Linked DNA regions of Macaca mulatta. The protein of the gene in region 1 purifies or fractionates together with the protein of each later gene. This does not show direct contact. Links are inferred from orthologs where the notes say so. Each region holds a gene or a part of one and is shown on either strand. Other genes may lie near its edges.

Evidence for each region.
Region 2: the proteins of CPSF6 (region 1) and SRPK2 purify together in Homo sapiens (affinity purification with mass spectrometry; 3 studies listed by BioGRID and IntAct, with this or other methods). This does not show direct contact. The link is inferred for Macaca mulatta from reciprocal best matches to the Homo sapiens genes CPSF6 and SRPK2.
Region 3: the proteins of CPSF6 (region 1) and RNPS1 purify together in Homo sapiens (co-immunoprecipitation; 3 studies listed by BioGRID and IntAct, with this or other methods). This does not show direct contact. The link is inferred for Macaca mulatta from reciprocal best matches to the Homo sapiens genes CPSF6 and RNPS1.

The regions. Positions count from the first base shown.
Region 1 is NC_133416.1:76,375,452-76,379,105, reverse strand, and holds part of CPSF6 (cleavage and polyadenylation specificity factor subunit 6), read right to left. Parts: intron 3,289-3,654; coding exon 3,143-3,288; intron 2,252-3,142; coding exon 2,078-2,251; intron 1,949-2,077; coding exon 1,838-1,948; intron 1,399-1,837; coding exon 894-1,398; intron 562-893; coding exon 446-561; intron 1-445. UniProt on the Homo sapiens protein: Component of the cleavage factor Im (CFIm) complex that functions as an activator of the pre-mRNA 3'-end cleavage and polyadenylation processing required for the maturation of pre-mRNA into functional mRNAs.
Region 2 is NC_133408.1:144,711,928-144,715,581, forward strand, and holds part of SRPK2 (SRSF protein kinase 2), read right to left. Parts: intron 889-3,654; coding exon 819-888; intron 169-818; coding exon 76-168; intron 1-75. UniProt on the Homo sapiens protein: Serine/arginine-rich protein-specific kinase which specifically phosphorylates its substrates at serine residues located in regions rich in arginine/serine dipeptides, known as RS domains and is involved in the phosphorylation of SR splicing factors and the regulation of splicing.
Region 3 is NC_133425.1:3,492,196-3,494,718, forward strand, and holds part of RNPS1 (RNA-binding protein with serine-rich domain 1), read right to left. Parts: intron 602-2,523; coding exon 460-601; coding exon of another isoform or gene 456-459; exon of another isoform or gene 355-455; intron 1-354. UniProt on the Homo sapiens protein: Part of pre- and post-splicing multiprotein mRNP complexes. Auxiliary component of the splicing-dependent multiprotein exon junction complex (EJC) deposited at splice junction on mRNAs.

The DNA.
Region 1 (3,654 bases):
CCATCAAACCACTTGAGATAAGAGTGATAAGGCATTTTACAAAAGTACTGTGCTATAAAATAACTATGCAAGGCAATGTCTTCTTTTACTGTTTCACCATTTGCAAAAGACTTTCATGGTGATGATACTAACTCAACTTATTATTACAGGTGTGTAAAGCACATTATCACTTTGCAAATATAAGAATAAATAAGCTGTCATAAGGCCCCGGAACCTTTAAATGTCAAGGGTAAGACTTACATCTATACCAAATAAGTTAAAATTTGGATTTTCCCCACTACACTGTGACACAGAGCTTTTATCAATGCTTTTTAAATAAATCACAGGTAATGATTTCGGAATACAAAAAGAACATGTAAATGACCTATCTTCTAGATTGTACTTACATTTTTAGGTCATTCCTAATAACATAAATAAGAAATATTAATACAAGAAATATACAAACCAGCACTGGCATCAGATACAGCTCTCGAAATAGCACTGCTTGAGATTGCCCTATTTCTATTCATGATTTCTTCAAATTCAGCTTCACTCAATGGCGTTCTTGCAGTATCCATTTCCCTGTAAAATAAAAACACAAACCTTAACTCATACTCAACAGATTTCCTAAGTTAGTCACAATAGTGTATAGCAATTCACACTAGCTGCTTCTGACATGTGCTTTAGCAATAGTAGTTACTTTTCCATATTGAAGCATGCTACTTTTGCTACAAAGAGAATGTCTAAAAATTCTCCTATACCAGTATCTTTCAGCTAAAACAGGGTAGCAGCTTAAACACCTCATCTTCTTGGAAGGCAGAAATAACATATTTATATAGCTACAATCTAATTATTTACAGTCATTGTTCCTATCTTTTATCATCAAGTACTTGCACAGATACACACTAACCTACCTTCCAGGGGGGCCATAGTCACCCCTATCATATGGTGGAGGTCGACCATATGGGTCTGTTGGTGGTGGACCTCGGCTATCTGATGTAGGCATGCCGCTGTTAGTTGGTGGAGGAAAGAAAGCTGGGTTCACATGCGGAGCTGGTGGTGGGGCACCTGGAGGTGGTCCAGGAAGATGCGGAGGAGGAGCTAGTGTAAGGGGTGGCCCAAGTGGACCGGGTGGACGAGGTGGAAAGGGGCCTGGAGGTGGAGGTGGTCCCTGTTGTGGAGGTGGTGGGCCAGGAGGGGGGCCGTAGCCTGGAACTGGAGGTGGAGGACCAGGAGGAAGTGGACCCAATGGAGGCTGCCCAAAAGGTTGTCCAGGAAAAAGAACTGGTGGTGGAGGGCGATCTCCTCGATTAGGAGGCCCAGCTAGAGGAGGAGGCAGAACCTGACCAGGAGGTGGAGGACCTGGTGGACCAGGTGGGCCTGGAGGACCTAAGGGTGGACGTGGTGGAGTCTGTCCAGCTAAAAAACAAAGGAGAAAGAGAAAAAAAAACCACTTCACTAATAAGATATTTTCTTTCATATGCCAAGATTATACTTTAAAAGCATAAAGCATACACCAAGTCTTTGTCTTTAAATAAAACCCATATGGTAAATATTACACTACCAACTACAATGAAGTATATCCTTACAAACTTAACTAGCTCCATTTATGCTTAAGAAAACTTACTGAAACAAAAACTTTAATAAAAAAGATTACAATGCCTAGAGATATTTTCCATCTTTCAGTGTACACACACTTCTTACAGTGAAATCACCCACCTTATATTCTACTCTGATGCCAAGCTAGAAAGTGAAACAAGGAAAAATGATCTTGAAAGGATTTTTTAAGAGGTAAGAAAATAAGACGGATGTAAATATTCTATATATAAGTCAAGCAAGTTTGGAGAAAAATAAAGACCTTTTAGGCCAAAAATGGGTATTTCCTCTATGCTGTGCCCCATATGCCATGGAATCCTAGTTTCCAGGAACAAAGGCCGAGTTCCTTTAACAAGATGCTTGATCAAATTTCCTGGATTCCAAAAATAGCATAACAAGGAGAGTAAGTCACATTAATAATGCATTACTTGAAAAAGAGAGAAAAGGAAAAGAGGTATTAGGTAGACATGTTTTATACATGGTAATTTAAGAAAAGTTTTACCTGGAAAAGGTGGGGGTGGCCCTCCTGGTCCTGCTGGCCCAGGAAATCTGTCCCCACCAGGAACAGCCCCTGGAAAACGGCCCCGTCCTCTACCACCTTGTGGAAATGCTGCACGGGAACTGCCTCCTGGAGGACCAGCTTTACCTTCCCCAGACATTTGTCCTGATTGTGTAGCTGCAAATATCCAAATACTCATAAATAGCAACTATTAAAAATAGTATTCTGAAATGCAACCATTATTATTAAAAACAACTCTATTTCTAACATATTAACTTGCAAATGCCTTGTGCCTATGCAAACTACATAAGGAAGTATGGGTTAGGAAAAACATTCACATCTATATGGGTACTTTTAAAGACTCAAATTTTTCAGGTTTAAATATATTTTCCATAAGTAATCATGAGTTACTTTCAAAATACCAGCACTCTGCAGCAGCCAAGACCGAAATTCTTCAATAGATATCTTAATTTCAGTATTACATCATTTAAATTTTGTAACATACTTCTTCTTAAGTCTTAAGTGCTAAAACATTAAAAGAAAAGGAACCACTTGAATTTCTGTTAATTACATAATCATCCATCTTATCTCTTTATATGATAACATCCTTAAATGTGTAATGACAAATCTTTTCTATATTCAGTTTACCAAGTGGTGAAAGGTCTTGTTGCCAGGCAGAAAAATCAATGAACACTTTCTGGTTATCAGTGATCTCTCCCCCACCATAATACATATTCACATAGTTTTCCTTTAATCTAAGAATTAGAATGTAGTTTCCTTCTGTATCTAAGATGGAAATAACAGGACAAGAATGGCAGGGCTACAGAACTTGCACATTGTTGTGTAGTATTGGGTCTGTTATATCTGGAGAAAAATGGAACAAGAGTAGGTTTCTAGTACACAGGCCCACAGTCATAACCAGTGATTAAATCTAATTCAAAGCATGGACTTTGTGAAATGGAGTTTCTAGTGAGCAAGTATTAAGATGACTTCTCTAGTATAAAACGCCTAACAAATGCACTGGTTAAAATGTACATATTTTAATAAAAGCCTCTGAGGACTGCTTACTTTTCCTGGACTGCATTTCAAATTGACTCAGGAACTGTTTATTGCATGGAGTTACAACAGGATTCTGACCATGAAGTTCTCTTTTAGGCAACAGATCCATTAACTTTTTTGAAGACGCTTCAGATCCAACACCAACAAGGGCAAACCTAAAAGGTGTTTAAGGGGCGAGGATACAAAGTAAAAAGAGATGAATATTATTACTGTTATCCTTCTGTAAAAAGGTCTTAATCTGCTTTTATTTAAAAAAAAAACAGCTGGCCGGGCGCGGTGGCTCAAGCCTGTAATCCCAGCACTTTGGGAGGCCGAGGCGGGCGGATCACAAGGTCAGGAGATCGAGACCACAGTGAAACCCCGTCTCTACTAAAAATACAAAAAAAAAAATTAGCCGGGCGCGGTGGCGGGCGCCTGTAGTCCTAGCTACTCAGGAGACTGAGGCAGGAGAATGGCGTGAACCCAGGAGGCGGAGCTTGCAGTGAGCCGAGATCGCGCCACTGCACTCCAGCCTGGGCAAC
Region 2 (3,654 bases), on another chromosome or scaffold:
ATTAATGCTAAAATCAGCAGCTGCTCTTCAGTTTCTGTCTGCATCGTGGCGCTTTTCAAAAAGAAGAGGTACTACCTCTGCGATTGAAGAATTCCCGAGAATATTTTCCAGATAGAGCAAAGTGCCTTGGAATACTGCCTAGCAGCTCTATGATGTGGGCTATGTGGTCTATGGAGGAGAGAAAAAAGGATATGGGAATGGGAGGGGCAAAGGGAAGGATGGGATAAAAGAAGAGGGAAAAATTGAAATTAGTAAAAAATCAGAAATAGATTCAAATCAACAGTGTCTGCAGCACATCCATGCAGAGGCTTGTAGGAATGACAGGCCTCAGGCACCACCAGGAGCAGTAACAGTGACTGAGGCCAGCTCACCCCAGGCTACCCCAGCATCGCAAGCAAATAAGCATGGAGATGGTCAGGTTTACAGATGGAATTCAAGCCAGAATTCCTGGGTTTTCAACTCAGCTCCCAAACAGGACAGAGAAATGGGCAGCACATCAATGGTCGAAAGGACCACAGAGAGGTTTCAGGTCTGTATCATCTGTCCTCTCTCAGACAGCTGGGTTCCTGCCCTGTGCAAGGCCAGGAAGAGCCGCTGGTGTAGGCCCCTGAGGGCTCACTGGAGTGCTGCCTGTACCAGGCAGGCTCTGCCCATTCACTGAGACTGAGGGGGCGTCAAACTCAAAGGAAAAGCATCTGAATTTGGTGTTTGAAAACCAAAAACATGGCTCTATTTCAGTACAAAAATACAGTACTCTACAGAAGTTCAGGGCTGGCAGGAGACCTAGAATGAGGTATTCAGCAGGCACTAATACTCACCTTCGTCTCTGGAATAGTCTTCCCCAGAATGTGGTTCAAACAAATAATCTCCCGTTGCCAGCTCAAATGCCTAGGATACAACAGACGACATGCTAAGCACTTCAGAGACTGGCCCCCAAGTCAACAGCTTTTTCTCCTTACAGAAGAGACCGCCACTTTATGAAGATCTGAATCAAACAAAATCGCCTCCCAAAAGTGCTCAATACTAATTTTTTTCTTTCTTCCACATTCAAAGAAGTTTCAGAAGTATTTTTACATTTCTTCTAAGGAAAGATATAAGAGCTATGTATTCTGTTCATTTTGCAGGAAGCAAAACCAAACGTCAGTGATTCAGCCGCACCTGTGTGCAGGCCTGGCAAAGCACAGTATGCACTCTATAAACGGTAGAACGAGAGTTCAACCCAGGACTCAACCAAGCCCATCTGACTCCAGCACCTGCCTCAACCACTATAATAGCCTTGGCCTCTGTATAGCAGACACTGCTGCGTCCTTTAGGCAAAGACCTTCATGTTTTAGTAACCGAGGACTATTTTCAGCATCTCATCATCTATTTTCATCATCATCTCATTCACTTCTGATTCAACCAAAGGAAAACCTGGAAACAAAACAGACCCTCTTTGTCCCCAGGGCCAGAGGACGCAGATGGCCTTGCAGACCCTTTTGTAGATGTCACGGAGCACTGGCTTCCTGGGTGGCCACTGGCTGTCCCTCAGCATGCCAGTATGTAGGGAAGGCCATTTGTTCCCATTTCCCTTGCTCACAAAAAAACCCTCAAGAACATGAGTTTAAGCTGGTAACAATATATAAATATGGCAACTGCTACTGCTCTGCTGATCAAAGAGTATGTTTTAAAAGCGAAAAAAAGAATAAGCTAAATCCCATTTCTGGTTTTTCTCATAGCTGCTTCTATTCTGAATGGATCTTGCTATCCCAAAAGGTGTTCAGAAGCCCAATCACTGATGCCTGTGGATCTGTGACTGCCCTCCCCACTCCCGCCCCCAGGAGCCAATGCTGGGGCAACTGCACTGCATCAACCTACCTTCTTTTTCTTTCAATGACCACACAGTGTTGGGAAGGAACCCTTAAGGGAAGACTCACCTGCCTGGGTGAGGGGGCACCTCTCCTAGCACTGTCTTTAACAAACCAAGAGTGGGACAGTCAGCCCAGGACCACATCTTTTCACCTTTTTTTTAAAAAAAGACTGCATGTGAATCAGTTGAAGGAAGGAAGCATGGTGACAAGATGACTGCCAGCTGCCCAGGCGGTAAGCATTAGTTTATGAACTCAGGATCCTGCCCTGAACCTGGCATAGGTCTGAGCAGGACACAGACACGTCACATCTCAGCATGGTGAGCTGGTGGTCCCAGCACTGTGGATGCCCGAAGGCACCAGCAGAAAACGCAGGAAGGCCCTTACGTAGGGCCTCTCCTTTCCACTCAATAAACAAAAAAGACAGCTGGGCCAATCCCAGGTGAGGGCAGGAAAACCTCATTATTGGCCCCAAATCCAAGTGGAACAACTAGATTACACACTTAATGGCCAGGAGAGTCCTTCCAGCCTGGGAGACAATCAACTCAGTATCTTACAAGCTAAGAGAAAAATCTGAAAACTCTAATGGGACAACGAGGACTTGAAAAGCTTGGATCAAGTTCCAAGCTGCTTTTCAACCCCTGCCTTGAGCCCTATGCTAACTCTTTTAATTAATTTTCAAAATGACTTCGATCAGGTCACATCCATTTCTTTTCCTTTCATATTTTTTGAGATGGGACCTCACTATGTTATCCAGGCTGGACTCAACCTGTTGGGCTCCAATGATCCTTTCTCAGCCTCTAGAGAAGCTAGGACTACAGGCGCACTACACTGTGCCCAGCTTTGTACATATTTCTTACCGCCAAAATATGTCAGCTATGTATTCTTTGAAAAAATGATCATTTTGATTAGCACCCTTATATTTCCAAGAAAACATGTATAGAAGCCAATCAATGAAATAATTTTTCTTTTTTTTTTTTTTTGAGACAGAGTCTTGCTCTGTCGCCCAGGCTGGAGTGCAATTGCATAATCAATCTCAGCTCACTGCAAGCTCCGCCTCCCAGGTTCACACTGTTCTCCTGCCTCAGCCTCCCGAGTAGCTGGAACTACAGGTGCCCCCCACCACGTCTGGCTAATTTTTTGTATTTTTAGTAGAGATGGGGTTTCACCATGTTAGCCAGGATGGTCTCGATCTCCTGACCTTGTGATCTGCCTGCCTCAGCCTCCCAACATGCTGGGATTACAGGCGTGAGCCACCGCGTCTGGCGAAATAATTTTTTTTTTTTTAAAGGAAGAAGGAAGATGCAGGCTGTAATGCTACCCGTTTTTGGTTCTTTGGAGAGTGACTAGATTCTCTTAACAATACAACATGTACAGCAGAGCAAATGCACACTACAATGAAAAACCTCTGCCTTCAACTCAGGTACTCCCAGTATAACCTTCTATTGCCCAGGCTGGAGTGCAGCAGTGCAATCTTGGCTCACTACAACCTTCGCCTCCCGGGTTCAAGCGATTCTCCTGCCTCAGCCACCTGAGTAGCTGGGACTACAGGCACGTGCCACCACGCCCAGCTAATCTGTGTATTTTCAGTAGAGATGGGGTTTTGCCATGTTGGCCAGGCTGGTCTCAAACTCCTTGCCTCAAGTGATCCACCTGCCTTAGCCTCCCAAAGTGCTGGGATTACAGGTATGCACCACCCTGCTGGGCCCGAGTATAACTTTTATTATTATTTTTAATACCTTGGAACTTCGGATTCTTCTCCACTTGGCCCAATTCCCTCAAAGGGCTTTTCCCTGGACCTACTTGT
Region 3 (2,523 bases), on another chromosome or scaffold:
GGGTGCTTGTGAGACCCAAGGCAGAAGCCCAGGCTTTCCTCCTCTTCCCCAAAGGCTGAAAGCACAGCTCACCATTGGCAAGGGAGGCCGAACTGTGGCGTCTGCCGAGGGATTACCACCCCCGCCCCACAACTCTTCTGACCCCCAACTTCTCCCTCTCCCAGCCCTTCTTGTTAGCTCAGAAAAAAAGTGGGCCTGCACCTGGGCTCACAGGTCTAGTGGTCTCCTAGGAAGGCCATACCACACCATTGCCCAGACTCATGAAGCTGTGTTGGTGCAACTCTAGGGCGTCTCCTGCTCTCTCCATGAGCTCTGAAGGGCTCCTCCTCTCTGCCCCCCTCCCCCTCCTGCCACCGCAGCAGAAGGCAGGCAGGCAGGGCTGGATAGAGGGTCCCAAAGCCACTGCAGTCACATGAGGTTTGTGGCCTGGTTAGTCCACTAAAACTACAGATTGTTTACCTTCTCCTCATCCGTGGCGGAGACCTGCGCCACATGGGCGGTGGTGGCAACATTCTCCTGGGAGGGCTAAATCTCCTGGGTGGTGGCCTAGGCCAGGGGGCCAGCACGGCAGTGGCAGTGATCTCCTGGCCATCGATTTGTCCTGTTGAAAAAGAAAGCAAGTCATAAAACATCTAACAAGCATCTACCCTAGACAAGGCATGTCACAGTGAACGAGACAAGCCTGGGGGGACAATGACAATGTAAGATAATCACAGAAATAGGGCCAGGCACGGTGGCTCACGCCTGTAATCCCAGCACTTTGGGAGGCTGACGCAAGCAGATCACAAGGTGAGAAGATTGAGACCATCCTGGCTAACATGTTGAAACCTCATCTCTACTAAAAATACAAAAAATCAGCTGGGCGTGGTGGCGGGCACCTACAGTCCCACCTACTTGGGAGGCTGAAGCAGGAGAATGGCGTGAACCCGGGAACCAGAGGCTGCAGTGAGCGGAGATCGTGCCACTGCACTCCAGCCTGGGCAACAAGAGTAAAACTCTGTCTCAAAAAAAAAAAAAAAAAAAAAAAAAAAGATAATCACAGAAATAACATTATGATTAATGTTTCATGAGAAAAAGAAGCATGGACACCAACAGGAGACACCAATGTCCATGTGTCAAGGCAGCCTCGCAGGTCAAGAGTCATCCAAGTCAAGAGCTAAACAATGTGCTGGAGGCCAGGTGCAGAGGCTTATGCCTGTAATTCCAGCGCTTTGGGAGGCTGAGGCAGGTGGATCACGATGTCAGGAGTTTGAGACCAGCCTGGCTAACATGGTGAAACCTCATCTCTACTAAAAATACAAAAAAATTTTTTTTTTTTTTTTTTGAAACAGAGTCTCGCTCTGTCACCCAGGCTGGAGTGCAGTGGCCGGATCTCAGCTCACTGCAAGCTCCGCCTCCCGGGTTCCCGCCATTCTCCTGTCTCAGCCTCCCGAGTAGCTGGGACTACAGGCGCCCGCCACCTCACCCGGCTAGTTTTTTGTATTTTTAGTAGAGACGGGGTTTCACCGTGTTAGCCAGGCTGGTCTCGATCTCCTGACCTCGTGATCCACCCGTCTCGGCCTCCCAAAGTGCTGGGATTACAGGCTTGAGCCACCGTGCCCGGCCAAAAAAAAAAAAAAAAAACAAAAATTAGCTGGGCATGGTGGCATGTGCCTGTGATCGCAGCTACTCAGGAGGCTGAGGCAAAAGAATCTCTTGAACCAGGGAGGTGGAGGTTGCAGTGAGCTGACATCAAGCCACGGCACTCCAGCCTGGGCAACAGACTGAGACTCCATCTCAAGGAAAAAAAAAGAAAAGAAAAGAAAAGAAAAGAAAAAAGAAAAGAATGTGCTGGAATCTGCTAGGTGGAAGAGAAGGGCTCTGCGGGGCCCTGTGCTGGGAAGGAACCAAAGCACTGGTGAGAGAAGGCAACAGAAGGCCCCAGGGTCAGGGTGGGGCTTCCTGGTAGGGCCATGCAGGTAGTATCAGCATTTGCGCTTCCTTCTCCTCCAACCAAGGGAAGCCAGGTCTGGGGCTAAGAGAAGGGCGAGAACTTCTCTTAGGAGGGCTCTGCGGCACTGAGAGGAGCATGAATCAACATCAAATGATTTGGTAGGGAAATGGAAGGATTCAGGGAACAGCTGAGAGATAAAATAGCCAGAGCTTGGTGATGGATGTGATGGAGGTGGTAAGGGACCATCGGGATGAGCTTCCATTGACAGAGAGGTGGGGCTTCGGTGGGGAGCAGCACGAAGGAAGTTTCAGGAGATGCCAAGGACTTTGTGTTTGGAAACAAGCAGTCTCAGAGAGGTGGCTCTGCATGGGGATGGCACTGAAACACATGCCATGTGCATGAAGCGAGGAGAGGCAGTGTGGGATGTGGGCTCCAGGGAGAGAGGAAAGGAAATGCAGGTGCAAACCCAGGAAGGGGAGCATGTGCCCCAACCTCAAGAATTGTCTGGTAGCTGGGGATATCAGAAGCCCAAGCACAACCCCTTTTGTGCCCTAAGGGGTAAAGGGCTCTTTTGTTTTCTCAACTGTACC